3 linked regions of the Canis lupus familiaris genome follow. The protein of the gene in region 1 interacts with the protein of each later gene in a biochemical or structural test. Links are inferred from orthologs where the notes say so. Each region holds a gene or a part of one and is shown in the gene's direction. Other genes may lie near its edges.

The links.
Region 2: the proteins of LOX (region 1) and EFEMP2 form a complex in vitro, tested with the Homo sapiens proteins (2 studies listed by IntAct, with this or other methods). The link is inferred for Canis lupus familiaris from reciprocal best matches to the Homo sapiens genes LOX and EFEMP2.
Region 3: the proteins of LOX (region 1) and ELN form a complex in vitro, tested with the Homo sapiens proteins (2 studies listed by BioGRID and IntAct). The link is inferred for Canis lupus familiaris from reciprocal best matches to the Homo sapiens genes LOX and ELN.

Annotation. Positions count from the first base shown.
Region 1 is NC_049232.1:11,930,691-11,937,752, reverse strand, and holds the start of LOX (protein-lysine 6-oxidase), read left to right. Parts: upstream 1-2,851; 5' UTR 2,852-3,233; coding exon 3,234-3,840; intron 3,841-4,184; coding exon 4,185-4,293; intron 4,294-5,483; exon of another isoform or gene 5,484-5,862; coding exon 5,863-6,000; exon of another isoform or gene 6,001-6,088; intron 6,089-6,453; exon of another isoform or gene 6,454-6,672; intron 6,673-6,788; exon of another isoform or gene 6,789-6,895; intron 6,896-7,062. UniProt on the Homo sapiens protein: Responsible for the post-translational oxidative deamination of peptidyl lysine residues in precursors to fibrous collagen and elastin. Regulator of Ras expression. May play a role in tumor suppression. Plays a role in the aortic wall architecture.
Region 2 is NC_049239.1:51,894,680-51,900,104, forward strand, and holds the end of EFEMP2 (EGF-containing fibulin-like extracellular matrix protein 2), read left to right. Parts: coding exon 1-18; intron 19-1,269; coding exon 1,270-1,389; intron 1,390-1,476; coding exon 1,477-1,603; intron 1,604-1,869; coding exon 1,870-2,065; intron 2,066-2,942; coding exon 2,943-3,104; 3' UTR 3,105-3,246; downstream 3,247-5,425. Other genes in the region: crossover junction endonuclease MUS81, read right to left, coding at 4,001-4,067, 4,164-4,247, 4,709-4,812, 4,892-5,020, 5,184-5,279, 5,378-5,425. UniProt on the Homo sapiens protein: Plays a crucial role in elastic fiber formation in tissue, and in the formation of ultrastructural connections between elastic laminae and smooth muscle cells in the aorta, therefore participates in terminal differentiation and maturation of smooth muscle cell (SMC) and in the mechanical properties and wall integrity maintenance of the aorta.
Region 3 is NC_049227.1:6,243,424-6,250,827, reverse strand, and holds the start of ELN (elastin), read left to right. Parts: upstream 1-2,702; 5' UTR 2,703-2,789; coding exon 2,790-2,871; intron 2,872-7,404. UniProt on the Homo sapiens protein: Major structural protein of tissues such as aorta and nuchal ligament, which must expand rapidly and recover completely.

The DNA of each region.
Region 1 (7,062 bases):
CTGAAGGGAAATATGTAAAATGGGAAAATAGTAGTCCATAGACTCTAACTCACACATAAAATATATCAGATGTTTTGAGGTCCAAATAAAGGAGTTACTTAATGAAATATTAATGTTCATAATGCAACATTATAGTGAATAAATGCAAAGTCACTGGAATTACTTAGACACAAAGAATCAGCAGCTTTAAAACTAGGAATAAAGGCTTTAGAAAGAATTTGGGTTAATCTTTTAGTTATCCTACAGAAAACTAAAAGCCAGGGGAAGTAAATCAGCTGTTTAAAGATGCACAGCTTTTTCTTTCTTTCTTTCTTTCTTTCTTCTTTCTTTCTTTCTTTTTTTTCTTTTTTTTCTTTTTTCTTTTCTTTTCTTTTTTTTGAGCACCAGGATGGAAAATTTTCAACAACATCCAGCATAAACTTTCTACCCTCCCATTAGGGGCTGCTCTGGTCTGCCAATCTGACAGTGTCTGTCATCTCCACAGAAGAGATCTTCCCTCAGCCACGTGTGGTCAAGCACTAGCAGTTACGGGATTCTGTTTCTGGGGAACAAGCCATTCATGGGCAGATGAGAGATGAGAGATAATTACATTCTCTCCCTTCCTGCTTCCCCTATCATTTAGCCTGTCCATCCAAATTATATACACCTGCTTCTTTTTGCTCCATCTTCTCTTAGTGGGTTCGGAGAAACTGAGTAGTTTAATTTTAAGTTCTGCAGCAAGTCTATAAAATGTCTCTGACTTTCAGACAGAGATGTGGCACTGTTCACTTGCTCTCAGTGGGATTTGCACTTGCATTTTCACCTTCATCATATAATGGTGGACTTGCCAATCCACTGGCAAGCTTCCACCTGAAGCCTTTGTAACCAAGGATGCTGTGTGGTCACAGGAAGAGCAAATCTAATTTGACTCAAAAAGAGCCAACCCCAGGGTACCTAGGCAGCTCAGCGGTTGAGCGTCTGCCTTTGGCTCAGGTAATGATCCCAGGGTCCTGGGATGGAGTTCCACATCAGGCTCCCTGCAGTGAGCCTTATTCTCCCTCTGCTTATGTCTCTTCCTCTCTTTGTGTGTCGCTTATGAATAAAAAATAAAATAAAATAAAGACCCGAAACCCATCAAGTTTGATGTAGAATCATGAGATCTGATTAGCTGAGAGAACCAGTCACAATCCCCCTCAGTATCAGTCAGGGTTCTTAAGTGGCAGACAACAGCAACTGACTCTGACCATGTCAAGCCACAAAGGAAGGCAATGGAGAAAAGTAAGGAAAAGCTGAAGGATCAGGTCTTGGAAGGTACTGGTCTGAAACAGCTCAAGGGGAATCCGTGTAGCAAGAACTCGTAGAAACTTTCTTGAGTAGCGGCAAGAGTGAGCTCCAACATTTTTGAGCCTTGTGTCCATCTGCTCATGATTCCAATTGTAGGGAGATGGTTTGATGAGCCAAGCTGGGATCTTGTTGCCACTGCTTGCAGTGGCAAAACTCTTATGAATGCTCAGTCAATCCCACCATGCAACAGTGTAGGGGAGTTTTCCCAAAGGAAAATACAGTGGTTCTCGCTAGGAAAAACAAAAAACAAAAAAACACAAAAAAAAGAACAAAGAAAGGAACATGGATGCTAGGCATTCAAATCAGCAGCTGTCCACCACATCATCAAAATGCGGTGGTTAAATTGCAGAGAAAGAGATCGACAGTGAGAGGTGAATAATGAAGTATATCTAGACAACAGCCTAGTAATGAGACTGATAAAAAAAAGTTATTAAAATCTGGTTCTGAGTCACAGTTTTAAATCAGCCTAAAGATTTTTTTTCTTTGAGATGCTTCCAACACTACCCAAACCCTGCATGGTATGTTTGGGTAACTGGTCCATTAAGTATCTCTTTCCAGGCAGCATTACCTGCCTCCTACCCATCTGCCACCCATTCTTGTCTGGCTACTCCTACTCCTTTGTCCTTACCAGAATCTGAACTCCGAGGCTATTTCTTCAGAAACCCCTTTGCTTACACTGGAAGATCAACCAAACACCATAGGATGTTTTACTGAATTTTCACAGTTTAGCAAATGATGATTTAACTTTTTTAAAGAATCCAAAGCCAAACCTCCAAATCGGATGTAGAATGAGAAAAGTCATGTAAAACGCTTCCTTGAAGCTGCCTTCCAAGTGCTATCTTGGGCACACTTGGTGTAGCCCCCCTTTACTGAAATGTCCTGGTAGATGCTGTCCAGATGAAAGATGGTTCTCCACTTTTGCTGGAAGTACAAATCAGGCCGGCGTTTTGAAAAAGAGACAGGTTTATCCATCTCTTCAGGGTTAGACGTGGCTTTGTTCCCTGTAAAATTTCACTTTTGGTTATTAAAATATTCACTGTAGGAAACAAATTTGTAACCCATTTCTCATATTACCTACACACAGAAAAACAAAATTTGATATCCTGGGGTTTATTTGCTGAGGGCGCTTACCATAAAAGCGAGTGAGTATGCATTGGGAAATTCGTCTGGTTAACTCCTTATGGATAAACGTTAGTCACCAGCATCCCTCCCCACCCCACCCCCGCCCCCGTTCCTCCCCGACTCTCGCCCCCAGCACCCTCCCCACCTCCCGACTTCCCGCCTCTCCAGGGCTGGTGACCTAATAGCATTTTTCTTCATGCATATTTTGGCGTCGCCCCATGGCCTGGCTGCCTTCGCCTGTCTGAGTCTTTTGAAATTCCTGCATGTTCGCCCCAGATTAAGCCGAGTGTGTCTCAGGATGTGTGCTCCGTTTTGTTCTTTCCCCTTAACGCTCCCTGTGCAACGTGTCTGGGGGGAGGAGGACAGGACGGGAGGGAGGGGCAGAGGCGAGGAGCTGTCCGCCTTGCACGTTTCCAATCGCATTACGTGAACAAATAGCGGAGGGGCTGCCGGGCCAGAACTGCTTGTGTAACTTTGCAAACGTGCCAGAAAGTTTAAAATCTCTCCTCCTTCCTTCACTCCAGACGCTGCCCGCTCGCCGGGGCCGCCGCGCCGCTCCCCGCCGCCTTCCAGGAGGACTGGGAAAGAGGAGACAGGCGGGTGCCACGTCCCAGCAGCCGCCTTTGCTGGGCAAGGGTCCGCAGCCCACCCTTGGCATTGCTTGTAGGGACTGAGTTACCGGCCTCCCTGGTTGAAGATTTCTCCCCTCCCTCACGTGATTCGGGCCCCGTTTCTCTCTTCTCCGATCTGCGTCCTCCCGGAGTGGGAGCAGTCAGGCGACGGGAGCGATGCGCTTCGCCTGGACCGCGCTTCTGCTCGGGCCGCTGCAGCTCTGCGCGCTCCTGCGCTGCGCCCCGCCGGCAGCCGGCCAACAGCAGCCCCCTCGCCAGCCGCCCGCGGCTCCGGCCGCCTGGCGCCAGAGGATCCAATGGGAGAACAACGGGCAGGTGTTCAGCCTGCTGAGCCTGGGCTCGCAGTACCAGCCGCAGCGCCGACGGGACCCGGGCACCACCGCCCCGGGCGCTGCCAACGCCGCAGCCCCGCAGCCGCGCACGCCGATCCTGCTGCTCCGCAACCGCACGGCGGCAGCGCGGGAGCGGGCCGCAGGCACGGCGGGGGGCGCCGGCCGACCCAGACCCGCCGCCCGCCACTGGTTCCAGGCTGGCTACTCGGCGTCCGGGGCCCGCGACGCCAACCAGACCGCGCCGGGAGAGCGCCCGGCGCTCAGTAACCTGCGGCCGCCCAGCCGCGTGGATGGCATGGTGGGCGACGACCCCTACAACCCCTACAAGTACTCCGACGACAACCCCTATTACAACTACTACGACACGTACGAAAGGCCTCGGCCTGGGAGCAGGTATCGGCCCGGATACGGCACCGGCTATTTCCAGTACGGTAAGCACCCCAAGTCGCAGGAAGCAGCCGCGCACCCCTTCCGCCACTCCGTGGCTCCCCAACGTGGCTGCCTGGGCGCGGCAGGCCTTAGTCCCCGCGGCTCCGATCCCTCCCCCTGCGCCTGCAGAGGCAGCCCTGGAATCCGGTGCAAACCGCGCGCGCCTGGCCCCTCCTGCTTTCTTTCCACTTTGCTTTGCAGCCCTTGGCGTCCCCCGTCCTCCTGCTACCCGCAGCCCGCTTGGGTGAAGGGTGAGGAGTCAGGGACACGGAGGGTACCCAGGGCCGGGGTAGGGGGTGCTGGGCTGGCTCACAGCTACCTATCCCCATCGCCTCCTGACGTTTAGGTCTCCCGGACCTGGTGCCAGATCCGTACTACATCCAGGCGTCCACGTACGTGCAAAAGATGTCCATGTACAACCTGAGATGCGCTGCAGAGGAGAACTGCTTGGCCAGGTACTGGTCGGGCTCTCCGCGGCCGGGCTGCCCCATCTGTGGGTCAGGCGCTGCTCCAGCGCCTGGTCCTCCTGACTGCTGCTCTTGTTCCATGCACACAAGAATTGGGAAATGCGGCAAGAGCTGGGAAGTGGAATGTGGTCTCCTGGGCATGCTGAACTGGATGGAGAGTTTAACATTTTCAAGATTTCTGTGGGTTCCGACTTTCAAACTGTGACACACATCAGGGAGATGGGGTAAACCCTAATCCTGGAGAGTTGAGATCTCGCGTTCTTTTTCCAAGACCCTCAGACTTTGGAGCTAGTGGTTTCCCATAACTTTCTATCAAAGAACTGTACAATACCATGGAAAAAATTTTGTAATGGAAGAGCTTGTTAATAACCCCTTAAAACACAGAGGGCTAATTTGCCAGTGTGGCACCCCTCATCAGCAAAGGTTAGGTTTTCTTCTTTTGTTTGAGGCCACAATTTAATTTCGTTGTTTTGGTATTACTTCAGCCAGAATAAGAGCATGATCAAGAGCTTTGTTTTTGAATCAGTCCTAAAATAAAGTCATAGCAATTTGGGGAATGGAATTCTCTGACTTTGCCGCTGGGAAACCAGCAGAGGGAGCAAAAGATGTTTTGATAGGTCTCATAAAATTTTTTTCAAGTGGAAAGTGAAAATACTCAACAGTATGTGAATATATATTCCCACAAAATATGTTAGAAGGAAGAGAGTAGTGTTTATCTGTTCAGTTCTTCTTCCACTTTGACCCTTTGTAACTGTCAGGCTAAAGGAAGAGAAGAAAGCTGAACTCATCCATTTTGAGTCTTGCACTCCCTAGGATGTTATTACAGTCATGCCATTGTTTTCAAGATAGCGAAATTGCAAAATTATTTCTCTAATCTGGGTGTATGCTTCTAGAATTATTTCCCCACTTTACATCTTAGGAAACTATTTAAGAAGAAACGTATTGTTAAATTCAAAGTTCTTAATAAGTACATAAGATTTTTTTAAAAAATTTGAGATAACTGCTACTCATTCATGTGGCTAAACAAGAACTGATTATAAGTACAAAATTTACTTATCACACGTACACTCTTAATCCTAATTTTATTATACTTTTTAACTGCAGGTTTCTTTTTTTTTTTTTAATTTTTTATTTATTTATGATAGTCACAGAGAGAGAGAGAGAGGCAGAGACACAGGCAGAGGGAGAAGCAGGTTCCATGCACCGGGAGCCTGATGTGGGATTCGATCCCGGGTCTTCAGGATCTCGCCCTGGGCCAAAGGCAGGCGCCAAACCGCTGAGCCACCCAGGGATCCTAACTGCAGGTTTCTATAGTGGTCATTCATTCACTGATTCAACAAATATTCACTGAACTCTGACCACTTGCCAGGCATCGTTCTAGGATCTGGAGATTCAGCAATAAACAAAATAAGCAAAATGCCCCAGGTCTCTTGCAACTGATAGTCTAGTTGGAGGTGGGAGGTAGTTGCCATTATAAAATGGAAAGGGTTTTGCTTGTAATTCATCTTTAGATAGTATCCTGTGAAAGTACTAATGTTTCCTTCTTCAAAACCACAGCTCAGCATACAGGGCAGATGTCAGAGATTATGATCACAGGGTGCTGCTAAGATTCCCTCAAAGAGTGAAAAACCAAGGGACATCAGATTTCTTACCCAGCCGACCAAGATATTCCTGGGAATGGCACAGTTGTCACCAGTAAGTGGATGGGCCTCCTAGGTCCTTCTGAGTTGTGTTTTCCTTTTTTTCACAGAGTTCTTGATGTGACAAGTGCAAAGTCTTATTTCTTACAGAAAAGGGAGAAAATTACTGTTATGATTACATTCAGAATTTTCTCTGTGTAATGTGACATCATCAAGGAAACATATCAGCTACAGGATCCTGTTATCTTTTAAAATGGAAATTCAAATCCAGCTCGTTAAAATTCTAAGTTCAGCTCATTAAAACTGCTGATAGGGATACAGCATTGGCTTCCCTAATATTTTATTCCAATGAATTATAGGTAAGATTTCCAAAAAAAAAGCTTGTTCTAGCCAAGATCACCTACAGTTAGTCAGCATTTCATAAAGTCCACAGGTGATCAGAAGGATTCATATACCAATCTCAGAGAAAAATAGAGATGATATACTCCATGAGCTGAGAAGGACCTACCTCTGTCTTTTAAAAGGCCTGTATCAAAGCCAGGGTAATAGCCTGCTTTGTCCTAAATTTAAAGATCTTTATAGAAGGTGGTTCTATGATTTGCCTTGGTAACTTGTCCAGGTACTTAATGCCAGGAAATCCTGATGGGTGCCCTGAAACCTTCTGCAATTTGAGCAATTTTTTCTTGTTCTTTCCTTACATGAGAAGATAAACATCTCAGTACCTTCCCTGAAATGAAATGAGAGAAAACAGATATAAACACTGAATTTTCTGATAAAATAAAATTATTTCATTTCTCAATAAAAGTTTATACTTATTAAATAATAATTGTGGGAAAAACATACCATTATTTCTCCTTTGCATTTTAGTAATGGTTTTGCATTTTTAAAAATCTCACAGAAACCTCCCATGAGTCATGTGCTCTTCTTTTATTTGGAACGAAACATCAATCCTGGCAGCCAAAGGAAACAGATTAGAGAGCATATGGCAGGTTTTACTTAAATGCAGATAATTTAGTATCTTTTTCTATTTAATATTCAAAGATAAAACAGGGTGTAATAGGAAAACAAGATATTCAAACTAAGTCATTTTTTATTCCTAGAAGCAAAGCTAAAAGCT
Region 2 (5,425 bases), on another chromosome or scaffold:
ATGGCTTCTCCTGCAATGGTGAGAGCTCCCCCTCTCTGCTGTGCTCCTCTGTAAGTCTCCCAGGCCCTGTTCCTGCCACACAGTCCTCCATTTGACGCCTTCCCATCCCATCCATTCTGCACCCGTGTACATCCTCTGTGTTCCACCCCAGGTTGATTGCAGGGCACCTACAGAACTTCCAGTCTGGGATGGAGGGGAAGGCACAGTAGGAATGCTCAGTAGGGAGCACTGAAGCTCAGTGGGGAGACTGACAAAGGATGCAGCTGCTCCCCTCTTGGGAGTTAGATGGACCTGCATCCTGGACTAGGGCCAGCCACTCTTTTGAGCCCATTTCTTCTGTAAAATGGATCGTCTTGAGGATGAAGTGGGAAAATGACAAGACAGGCTTCGTCAAGTCCCAAGCCACGACGTTTTAAAGTGAACTATCATTTATTGAGAGCCTTCCCTGTGCAGGGCATTAATTTCCCCTACATACTTGGCTTCATTTAATCCTGCCAACAATCCTAGGCTGTAAGTATGAATTTTTCCTTCCTCTGCAAAACGAGGATGGTAGTCTCTCCCTTGAGGTTTTTGGCAACTATTGTTAAAGAAAATAATAAGCACAAAGTCCTTCAGCAAAGAGGTTAAGTGACTTGCCCAAGGTCATACAGCTAGGGTGAGGTCGCACCAGGGTTCCACTCTGGATCACTCATTCCTTGTCAGCTGGCCAGGTACCTTGTTTATGTTGTGCTTTGGGGTTGTATGGCCCCATTGGTACCTGGCTCAGTGCTAGACAGCATGAGGCTAACCAGAGCAGAAACCCTGGCTCTTAAAAAAAAAAAAAAAAAAGAAACCCTGGCTCTTGCCTATAAACTACCTGTTGGCAGGAGGGGACTGTACACTGAGGCTGGTTGTGGGTTGCAGGAATTGGGCAAGTTACCAAAAGCTTGAACAGGCTGGGCCTTCAAGTCTCATCTAGTCCAACCTGCTCATTTTATTGACAGGGAAATCAAGGTTCCCCAAATTCAATCAGGACTTACACCCAAGCCTCTAGATTCACAGTGCTTCCATGAGGTCTTGTATTGCAGAGCTGGGGCAGAGGTCCGGGAGCTGGGCAGTCTGGGCAGACCTTTATTTGAATCCTGTCTCCTTACTGAGCTTTGCATCCCCCTGTCTTTCCATACTGAGCCTAACATATGGCCAGGCTCTCTCTGTAAATTCAATTCATTCGTGGGAATGAATTGAGAGGCTTGCCCTTGGCCCAGAGCCCTCATCCCCACTCTTCCTCAGATATTGATGAGTGCAGCTACTCCAGTTACCTCTGCCAGTACCGCTGTGTCAACGAACCTGGCCGCTTCTCCTGCCATTGCCCGCAGGGCTACCAGCTGCTGGCCACACGCCTCTGCCAAGGTACAGGTTGCCCCAGTGGAGCAGGTAGGGTGGTATCGGGGGCTGGTGGCCTGACATCTGGGTTCCAGCCCCTTTCCCCTGATGCAGACATTGATGAGTGTGAGTCAGGCGCGCACCAGTGCTCTGAGGCCCAAACTTGTGTCAACTTCCATGGAGGCTACCGCTGTGTGGATACCAACCGTTGCGTGGAACCCTACGTCCAGGTGTCTGACAAGTGAGTCCATGGGACACCAGACACCCGCCCCCACACCCCCCGCCCGCAGAAACTACAACTCTCAGAGGGCTCTGTGGCTGACTGGCTGCTGTGCAGGCTGTCTAGTGCTCCAGGGCCTATGGGAATTGTAGTCTTTCATGACTAAACCATGCAAACAGTTCTAGAAGGAGTGGGAGAATCCTTTGGGGATACCTAGTTTTAGGAATGGGACCAAACTTGGGGTATAGGCCAGGACCTCATTTGTGTCCCCATTTTGGGGTTTCTAGTCGCTGCCTCTGTCCGGCCTCCAACCCCCTGTGCCGGGAGCAGCCCTCGTCTATTGTGCACCGCTACATGAGCATCACCTCAGAGCGGAGTGTGCCCGCCGATGTGTTCCAGATCCAAGCAACCTCTGTCTACCCTGGCGCCTACAATGCCTTTCAGATCCGTGCAGGAAACTCGCAAGGGGATTTCTACATTAGGGTAAGGCTTTCCCCTAATTGCACCCCTCAAGTGACATGCATAATCCAAAACTGAATTCCAGAAAACCTTAAGTGGGAGATTTGGCTCTACCCCTTTTCTCAAAGCCCTGTCCCCCCAGGAGGTGGAATTTCTGCAGAAAGGTAGGGGTATTCTAAATTCCCTTGCTACAAACTAACAAACTACAGGTTGTTAAATGCAGTTCCAATGAGGCACTTGGACACTGGGGTTTGAGTCCTGGCACTGGTTTCCATATCTGGCCTCTGATTTGTTCACTCTTAGAACAAGGCACTGGCATGAGAAGCCTGCCCAGGTAACAGGACACAACAGGGTCTGGGGAACACAAGCAGATGGAGCTGGGCCTTGGAGAGAGAGGCAGCAGGGGTTGGTGCAGGGGTCTGGCATCCAAGAATCCAGCTCGCTGCTGGTGGAGCTATTAGGGAGAGATCCAGGCATGACTCACGAGGAGAGGGGGCCAAGGGTTTATCTGATATTAGTCCTTGTTTTCTCTTTCTGCAATTGGATGCTCTGAAGGGAAGTCAGCCAGCTCCAGGTCACCAAAGACCCCACCACTCCCAAAAGTTTCCCACCTGGCCTTGCATCATCAGTTGACCCTGATTAGACAAAAGAACTAGATGGAAAGTGTGGGAAGAGCACCAGTGGGAAATTTCTGAGGGCAGGAGCCTGGGTGCATCAGTGACAAGATGTCAAGGGTATCAGAGCTGGATGAGAGCCTGGGGTCACAGCCTGCTAGGACTCTCCATTTCACAGCCAACTGATTGTGGGCTCAAGATATGGGATGGGGAGGTGAGGCTGGGGCAGGGGTCTTGGCATGTAGGTTGACACAATCTACATGTCCCCCACCCACTATGCCCTGCAGCAAATCAACAATGTCAGCGCCATGCTGGTCCTCGCCCGGCCTGTGACGGGCCCCCGGGAGTACGTGCTGGATCTGGAGATGGTCACCATGAATTCCCTCATGAGCTACCGGGCCAGTTCTGTACTGAGACTCACCGTCTTCGTGGGGGCCTATACTTTCTGAGGTGGGGGTGGGGAGCCCTCAGGGAGGGAGAGGCTTCCTGTGGCCCAAGAGCCTGGGGCTCAGGGATGACTGTGCTCGGCTGCAAGGGCAGATGCTGTTGTGAAGAGTAGAAAGAGAAAGGCAATAAAGGGAGAAAGAAGGAGTCCTGGTGGCTGAGGTGGGTGGGTAACACTGTAGTGAACCCCTGGACTGGGGAAGTGGCCAGGCTGTGGGAGGCAGGCCAATCACCTAAAGGGGGGTATCTCCATTCGGGCTCAGGGTGCCCCATAGATAGAAGTTGGGAACTGTGTCCCCAAGACCAGGATTGATCCATGTACCATGCACATCAGAATCGGTCTGAGAATGGAGGAGATGATAAGGCTACAGACTCCAGGGACCCAGCCCAGGAACTGGAGTTTGGTTTATAACTCTACTGTAGACATTGGAGGCCTTGGGTTCTAATCCCAGTTTGGCCTCAAACTATCAATTTGACTAAACCCTAGTAGATTCTTTCTGGGCATCAGTTTTCCAATCTATAAAATGAGGCAATTAAGATTAGTGCTTTCCACATATTTCTTTTCCAAAACACAGAACTTATTATGGAAGGATATTTGATCCTATCAGGGAACTCTGATGATATAAACTAGATTCAAAGTTGTAACGCCTCACTGACTCCATCTCCTTGGTGGTCTCAGTGCTCTCCCAGGGAACCCCAGGGTCCTTAGAGCTCAGTTTAAAAACCACTGGATCTGTTGGTCTCCCCAATTTCTGCCTGGATACTTCACAAAGTCCCTGGCATCACCTCCATAATACATCAAGCTGCAAATACTTATATTTTTATTGTAGCCCAGTGGCTTAAAAGGCTGGCTAGCCCATGAAGGTGGGGGGTGGTGGTGTAGTCGGCCTCACGGGATGCCTCAGGTCAGAGGGCTGTAGCAGCAGTAGAGCTGGGAAAAGATTCTGCTCAGAGCAGGCCCCAGATTCCTGCACAAAGAGAAATGCAGGTGAGGGTCAGACCATGAGCCAGAGCAACCCTGCCCCAGCCACTCCCTGTAGGTCCTTTTTCCTTGCCATCATCACCTTTGCAGTCGACCACACTTGATGGTGCTCAGCAGCATCTCCTGTTCCTTGGGGGTGACACAGGCGTCATAGGCGGCCAGGAGGCTGGGGGTGGGGTAGGGTGTTTGAATTTCTAAAGCTTGGCAACAGCGGACAGCTGGCCCACTCTTGAGTGGCTAGGCCACCATTACGGGAGACAAGCAGAAGGGGTCAGCGTGGAGGAGAGGAGTCAGCACTGCTGCTGTACTTCCTGAGCCTTCCATCCAGCTCAGCCTCCCTTCATGCAGCTGCAAATGTTCTCCAAGTGTGACTATTCTTGGCCTAGTCTTCATGGCCCAACCCCCTCATCCAGGAGCCTTCTCCGCTGCACCAGGCAGAAGCGCTCGCTCACTCCTGTTGGCTCCCCTGGCCGCTGAGATACTGTCTATTTCTAGCTGACCCTGAGATACTGTCTACTCCTAGCTGACCCCGTCTTCCTTACCACCTGACCTCCACCAACTCCCCTCTGTCCACTCAGTCAGGTCCATGCACCCTGGCAGAGCCAGACCCCTCCGCAAAGCACTCACCTGGCAGGGGTGCTGTACTGGCCCACTATGGCTGCTGCCTTCTCCCCACTCACTCCCCGCACCTGCATCAGCTGCCTGGCGAACACCTCCTGCACACACTGGGCCTGGGATTGGGCGAGGGGAATGGTGTCAGGCGTGGCCTGGGGCTGGCCCGAGTAAGGAGGCATGGGGTACAGGCTGTACCTTGTTCTTCATGGCTCCTGCGTTGAAGTCACTGAAGGTGAGGAGTGAGCAGAGAGGATGTGGGGAGGGCCCAGGCCTTGATTCAGGATCCCCTGAGGTTCCCCAGGGGCGACTGCGTAGGGTATGGCCCTGAAGGAAGAGGGAACTGAGGCCAGGACAGAGCTCTAGGGGACAACTCCCTGCCATTCCTTGCCTAATCCTCGGCCTCAGGAGGCCAGTATGAAAAATTTGGATCTTGCTCACTTCACTTCCTTGGGGGAGCATAGGACCCAAGGACAAATCACTTCCTCACCTGGTAGAGCCTCTGCAAGCCCAGTGTCAAGAGGGCCAGGTAGGCAGCTGACTCCTTGATGTCTGCTGTGCGCTTCACAAAGAAGCCATCGATGACCTGGGGAAGAGGAACCCACCCAAGAGATGATGGGAATTCTTGGCCAGAGCTGTGGACCATGGGGTTCCTGCAAGCCTTGCCTTGTCCTCTTGGCTCACCTGAGTGTTGGTGACAGCCTGCAGCAGCGTGCTCTCAGGAAGGCTAAG
Region 3 (7,404 bases), on another chromosome or scaffold:
CCCTCCATGGGCGGTTCTACCTGAATGACCTGATTTAACCCACGCAGCTATGCAGGGAGGTGAACACAGAGTAGTTGAGGACTGTTGGGTTTCTAGGATGTATGAGCAAATGAATGAATGCATGTCAGCTAATAACTGTGACCTCCAGTCCTTACAGTATGTATTGAATACCCTGGGCTAAATTGTACTGAAGAATCACTTCAATTGATGGGTTCTGAATTGAAGCCCTTTCTGGTGTGTGAAGCCTCAGATGCAAGTTATTGGAGCTGTTCCAACGAGCACAGGGTGCTAAGAAAAAGGGGGTCCCAGATCAGGGTGGAACACAGGGCCCTGATTCTGTGGGGAGAGGTCTGGCCCAGCAGCCCCGAGTCTCTCCCTGCAAGCGCCCCTCCACACCTCTCCTGGATCCCCCGGCAGCAAGAACGCTCCTTCTGGCTCCAGCCTCTCTCCTGGTCCTGGAATTAATAAAGACTCTGAGCAGACTGCGGTTTGCAAGTCTGAAAGCCGGTTCCTGCCCACGTCACTGCCCCGAGAGGAGTGGGGCCCAGCTCCTCCCCAGCGCCCCCTCCCTTCCCCCTTCCCAGGAGGGGGCAGGCACACAGATGCACCTCCTGGCCTCGCTCTCCACATGTAGGCTCACCCTAGGTACTGAGCCTCCAGACCCCAACCCTAAGCAGCCCCTACCCCCAGCAACAAAGACAAGTTCGGGCTCATAACCTCTATCAGCTACCCCACAGTACCCCAAATAGAACACACTGGAAGCAGGAGCTGTACACTTACTGTGCAAAATAGCTTCAAGTTTGTTCTCCTTGTGTGTCCACCCTTTTCCAAACTCCTGAAGCAGACGCTGCCTAAGACCAGGGGGAGAGGATGGAATGGCCTGGGGTCCTAAGGTGGCCCCACAGAGAGCCAAACCTGATAGTTAATCCTAAACACAGGAGTGGTCCATGCAGGATGAGGGGTAGCAATAGTAGCCTAGTACTAGTACTAGCACCAAATGAGCCTGGAGCATTTTGGATCTGGCAGGCACGGTACAGAAATGTATGATCACATTTTATTTATCTTTGCAATAACCCTCCTAGGCAGGGATATTTATCACCATCTGACACGAGATGAAACCGAAGCTCTGTGAAGAGCTTACCCCAGTAGAAAGCCCTAGAGCTAGAATTTAGTGTTAGGTTCACCTGAGTTCAACACGTGGCCTTGTTAGTCCTCCAGAAGGCCACACAGCTCCAGGCTGGAGGGCGCGGGGGTCCTTTAGCTCCCTTGCTCAGAGCTGTGGTTGTGTCTCCCCCATCATTCTCCATCTGGGGGCAGGAAAAAGCTCACAGAACTTGTGACCTCGACTTTCCCCCTCCCCCACCCTAGAGGCTCTGATGATAGCAAGTATCTGTTCCCCTCCCGTATCCTCTGGCTCTTGAATTTCTTCCCCAATTTCGGGGGGCTGGGGAGGCATGACCCTCCGCTACTCTACCCAACCCCAGGAAAGTCCCCAAGGTCCTCATCCTGTGCAGGCAGGCTGGGACTTCGGGAGTCTTGGAAATGCTGGTCTCAGCTGTTTCAGCACAGGGCCGCCCCCTCCTGGCCACCAGCGGAATGTCAGCGCCCCAGGCGTCCTCCTGTGGCTGGGAGGGAACTTGCCGTCTGGGGACTCTGGAGTCTGGTCTGGGTGCTAGTGAGGCTCAGCATTGAGATAGATGGGGGCTGGGTGATAAAGAGGGGCCAGGACACTCAATCCGGGTGAGGTCCCCAACCCCTCGGTCCCCCAAAGAGTACCTGGGGATCCTGTCTGAACATCCCCAGACACTGTGGTCTACACAGGCCTGTGTGTGGGACTGTGACCTTGATCCATGAGGAATGGAATCCCTGTGGTGTGTCAGGGTCTCCCACATGTCCCCCAGATGCCCCAGGGCACTATGCCAATGTGGTCTTAATTCCCAGGCTGTTCTAATGCAGCCTCTGTGCCTTTGCAGAGGCAGATCCTAGACCTGCCCCCAAACCCTCCCCAGCATCAGCCGGGAGACAGTGACCTTAGTCCATAAAGGATGGACCTATAGTGTGTCAGAGTCCCCCCCCCCCCCCCCCCTTCTTTTCCCCTGATGCCCCACAGGGCAGCGCCAGCATGATCTCACCTTCCAGGCCGTTCTGCTCACAGCCCCTCAGCCTCTGCAGACATTGGCCCCAGGCCTTGGACCCCAGACCTGCCCAACACCCCACACCCCCAGCTTCGGGCAGGGACAGTCTCTGGCCAGACCTGGGGGTGTCGGGGGAGTCTGGAGGGCCGGGGTGGGGGCAGAGGCACAGGACAGCTGGCCTGCGTCCCCACGCTGGGCCCCGGGCCCAGCCGGAGGGGCGGGGGCCTGGCCACTCGGGCCTTGGCTGGGGCTGGAGTTTTGGCCGGGCTGCGGGCCCTCCCCCCGCTTCCTCTCCCGAGGGCTGTCCTGGCAGAGGCCCCCCTCGCACTTTCTGGCGGGAACGCGGCCAGCGCGGAGGGAACAGCTACAGAGGGAAGCCGAGAGGGATGGGGAAACTGTGCGTGTGCGTGTGTGTGTGCGCGCGGGTGAGTGTGTTTTAAGGAAAAAAGCCCACATCCAGTCCAGTCAGACTCAGCCTGGGAGGCTTGGGAGCGGGGCCTTTCGTAATTGCCCCCTCCCCGCGGCCCCCTCCCCCAGCTCCCCCCTCCCCCGCCGCCCGCCGCCCGCCCTCCTTCCCTCTCAGCGACGAGGCCGCAATTACGCTTTGGGGATAAAACGAGGCGCAGAGAGCGGCCCGGGGCACTTCTCCCCGAGATGGCGGGTCTGAGAGCTGCAGCCCTGCGGCCCGGAGTCCTGCTGCTCCTGCTGTCCGTCGCCCGCCCCTCGCAGCCCGGAGGTAGGCCTCTCCCTGCCCCGGGATGCCGCGGCCCCCCCTGACAGACCTGGGCGCCCTCCACCCCGCCGTCCGGGGACCCTGGGCGGGAGCCTCCCGGCCGCTGGATCCCCGCAACCGCGCCTCCCGGGAGCCAGCCCTGCCGAGGAGGAACCTGTCACCAGACACCCCAAGGTGCAGGGTGGTCCCGACCGGCCCAGGTCCTGCCGCCCGGCTCGGCTCGGCTGAGGCCCCCCACCTCTGTCCCGGGCGCTGTCTGCGGAGGGGGGGGCGCGCAAGCATGCTGCGGGAGGGCCCTCGGGGTCCCCTGGCAGGGCACAGGCAGTTTGCACACGTGTGGATCCAGTAGGGACAGGGGACTGGGGCCGGAGGCCAGCTCAGCGACTACGGTGAGCTGTGTGACCTCGACAGGTTCCTTGTTCCTCCCCCCACCCCGGGGAAGTCAGGACCCCCCTCAGAGGAAGGTCAGAGTTCCGTTGATTCCGGGCTGCGGGTTGGAAAGCTGCTGCTGTGGTCTGTCCCTGGTGAGGGGGGCCGGGCCATCGGAGCGTGTGTATGTGTGTGCAGGGCATGCACACAGGAACAAGTGTGTTGTGTGCTACGGCGCAGGTGGGCATGTGTGTATATGTCCAAATGTGTCATCAAACCATAGAGGAGGAATGTGTGTTCACAGGTTCACCCCTGAGCAGGTGTGTGTGATGGGAGAGGGCGTAGGGTTTGTGAAAGTGCCTGTTAGCGTGTGCGAAAGTCTGCCACCCGACAGGAATGGACACAGGGGAAATATGCTATCCAGGTGTGGACTGTCACCGAGCATGTGACTCTGTGAGTGTGTGTGTGTGTGTGTGTGTGTGTGTGTGGTATAGGACACAAACAAGGATCAGAGAAGCTGGGGAAGGTATTCATCTCCTGGCAGAGGGAGGGCAGCCAGTGACAGAGGCTAAAGTGGACCTCGGGGCAGTTCTGGACCATCTGGCATGCTCTCTGCCATAGGCCACAAGGATGCCCCCCTCCCCGGGGGAGGCTACACACCTCAAGGGCTCCTAGGAGTGGCCCCCTGGGGAGCCCTCCAGAAGGTGCTCTTGGCCATGGGAAGAGAGGAGTGCAGAGACTTGAGCCATTTGGTGGGGTAGCCTGGGTGGGGTCAACTTCCCATGGGCGTCCCCCTTTGCCATTAGAACCAGATCTTCAGTGGGGGACCAGTGTCGGGGGCGCGGGATGGAGCAGGGCCAGGCCGGAGGGCTGGAATGAGGGGCGGGGCAGCAGCAACCCTCTCCCCCGAGCCACTGACTAGCTGAACAGGACTGCTGAGAGCAGAGGCTTCTTGCAGAGGTCAGCTCCTGGACCTGGACCTGGATGGGGGTGCGGCGGGGGGCATACTAGGGGGGCAAGACAAACCCCAGACGACCGGCCACCCCAGCACCCCCAAGAGCAGCGGCTCTGGACCCTCTCAAACCTCTTCCCCACTCCCTCAGGTGTGGCCCCTGAGCACCTGCCTCCCCAGACAGTGCTTCCACATAGAGCGTGGCAATTAACCCCTCAAAACCCCCGAAGAGTTGAGAATATGATCTTCTTTTACCCATAGGTAAATGGAGGCTCAGACAGGCTAAGGCAGCCCCAGGGGGTTAGTACTGGCCAGGTTCTCTGCCAAAGGATGGGGGCAGGGGCCGGGTATCGGGCTACATCTGGGGGGGGGCATCCATCTTCAGGAGATGAAGCCTCCTGAGTGGGCACACCCTAGGGCAGAATACACCCTCTCCTTGTGGCTCCAGTCACACTGCCAATGCTCAACTACTCTTCATCTTATTTTACAAATATAAATCTCAGCTCTGACCCAGGTGGTAAAGCAACTGGGTCCCAGTCAGGGGTGTGTGAATCCATGATATCTATTGCAGTTTTTGCCCAGAGCCTACTAAAGAGGTCGGGGGGAGTGAGAGAGCCATGCCCCTACATACACAGAGCTACCCGCCTGGCTTTCCTGGGGAGCCCAGCATTTGCCCCCCTCAACAAGAGGATATCACCCCCATGAGCTTCCTAGTTCCAAAGAACTGCATCGTAAGTGGAGGGAACCCCCCAGGAAAACTGTAATGGAAAGGGTTGTCTGGACCCCTTTAGGAAGTTCCAAGTGGGTCTGAAGACCAGCCGCTCCAAACCCCCATGCCATCTATCTTTTTAAAGATAGAGAAAACAGTTAAATTCGGTAGAATTCCATCCCCATGCCCCAGAAATGTATCAGCCTTTTCTTTTCCTGATTCCGGGACTAAGGATGATTTGGAACATCCCTAGCTGCATATTGGAGTTAACTGGAGAACTTTAAACAACTCTGATACCAGGGTCCCACCCAAGGATTCCTGCTTTACTTGGCCAGAGGAAGGAACTGGATGTGGAGGAGGTTTTATAAAAAGCTGCCCAGGTAACTCTGATGAGCCTCCAGGGCAGAGGGTCTGTGGGTGAGGAGTTAATCCCACTCTCTGCATTTGCTGGAGCCACGGCGGGAGGGCAGACGTGCCCAGGGGAGGGAGGGGACAGAGTCACCCACTAGAGGACAGATTGTTTTTGAAAAGCCCTTGGCAGCCTTTCTCCAGGCAAACAATAAACAGCTTCGTGAGGTCTTATCTGCTCCCTTGCCAGCCCCCTGGACTTGGGCTTGGCAAAGCCCCTTGCCAAGGCCTGCTGGCCCGATGCTCATTCCCCAACTGCCTTCTCCACATCTTTGAACCTAAAGCCCGGGGGCCCAGGCAGAAAGCCCTGCGTGTGACTGGGGTCAGCGGTGGGTCCCAGGCCAGGCGCCTCATCTCACTGGCTCTTGGTTTCCCTGGCCATAAAATGAGGAGAAACATCCCTGCCCTACTTATCTCCTTGGGCCAGTGGGAGGCTCCAGCCGTGTAACATCTGCAAAAATCACATCAAGTGAGGGGACTGTGGGAATGGGAATTTCTAAAACAATACATCTTCTTATTCAGAATTTGTTTATTTGGACCGATTGACTCTTATAATTAGGGCACATTTTTTAAGGTTTAACTTTCCCTCTTGCTGCTCACGCCATGTTTTGTCTACTGGGTGGAGTGTGCATGAGTGATGGAGGAAGCAGATAGGACCAGGAGACTGGGTGGCCCAGGAGAGTCCCAGGAAATCCAGGAAGGCTTCATAGCAGAAGTTACATTTGAGTCAGACCTAAAAGAACGGGCAATGCTTGAGAGGCTGTCTGTGGGTGAGAGATGAGCCTGGGGCTCTGGGGCTCTGGGGCTCTGGGAGACAGCAGTGGAGAGATGGAGGGCAGATTCTGTCTCAGCAGAAAGAAAGCCTTTCTGCAGGTAGGGCCAACAGCATCGGGAGGGGGTGATCTTCCTGTCACCAGAGGCGTGCAAGCAGGAGTACAAGGGGATGTTTGCAGGAGTTTCCGCCCAGGCCAGAAGACTGTTATGATCTCTGAGAGTCTAAGACCAGGATTCTAAGAGGCAAGAGACAAGTTCCACCCTGGGCTAGCCCGTGAAACAAGCCAAACCCACATAAAACAAGACAAGCATGCTCCAAGCCAACTGCTTTGGGCCAGCTGAGCGGTGAGAACCACAGGCTCAGAGAAGGCAGGAGGGGAAGAATTTGAGCTCAGTCTAGGAGGAAGTGCAGGACTTGGGTAGCGGAGAGCACTCTTGGCAGGAGGAACTGTTCCAGCCAAGGAGGTGAGGAGAAGGAGAACCGGCTAGAGCTCGAAAGCTGCCTTTTTGAAGGCCCTTGACTGACTACTGTCTTAATCTGTTCTCACCTCTCCTGAACGTGGTGAGAGGGGGCAGGGCAGGGATCCTTTGCACCCCCCTAATCCTTCTCCATTAGCTCAGTGCAAAGTGGGGGTCGAACTCTCTCGCTCCCCCGGCCATCATGGTTCAGGCACGGAGTTTGGCAATCAGTATTGGGAACTGAATCATGGGGGGCCGGGGTGTGGGGAGAGCTGGGGCAGGCCAGGAGGGCTACAGAGAGCCGGGCAGGCGCTGGGGAGAGGGCAGGCAGAGGAGGAAATGCAGATGGGGTGCAGGGGAGCAGAACCTCGGCAGAGGAAGGAAGGGTTCAGCCAGGCCCGAGGTGGGGAGCCCCCCAGGCTGGCTGGGGATGGAAGAGTTTGGACCCAGACCCATCCTTGCCTCCTCTCAACCTAATTCACTCGTGGTTTATTGAATGTCTGTTGTATACCTGGCCCCACACCATGCACTGTGCAGCAAAGTGGACACAAAAGGTCACCTTTTTTTTTTTTTTTGAGCAATTACTGTATGCCAAGTCAAGAGCAGGACGGTCTCTTATTTGAACCCTTTGGCAATTTGCAAACAGCCTTGAAAGGCAGAGGTGATCAGTCCCACATTGCTTACAAGGAAACTGGGACTCAAAAGGGTTACATGACTTGCACAAGGTCACACAGATGGTAAGAAGTGGCACAGCCAGGATTAGAGACAGATGGGTCTGCTCCTGCAGCCTGCCCTGGAGCCAGAGAGCAGAGAGGTGGGGACAAGGCACTGTCAAGAGGAAGAGAAAGGGGAGCAGGGTGAGAAT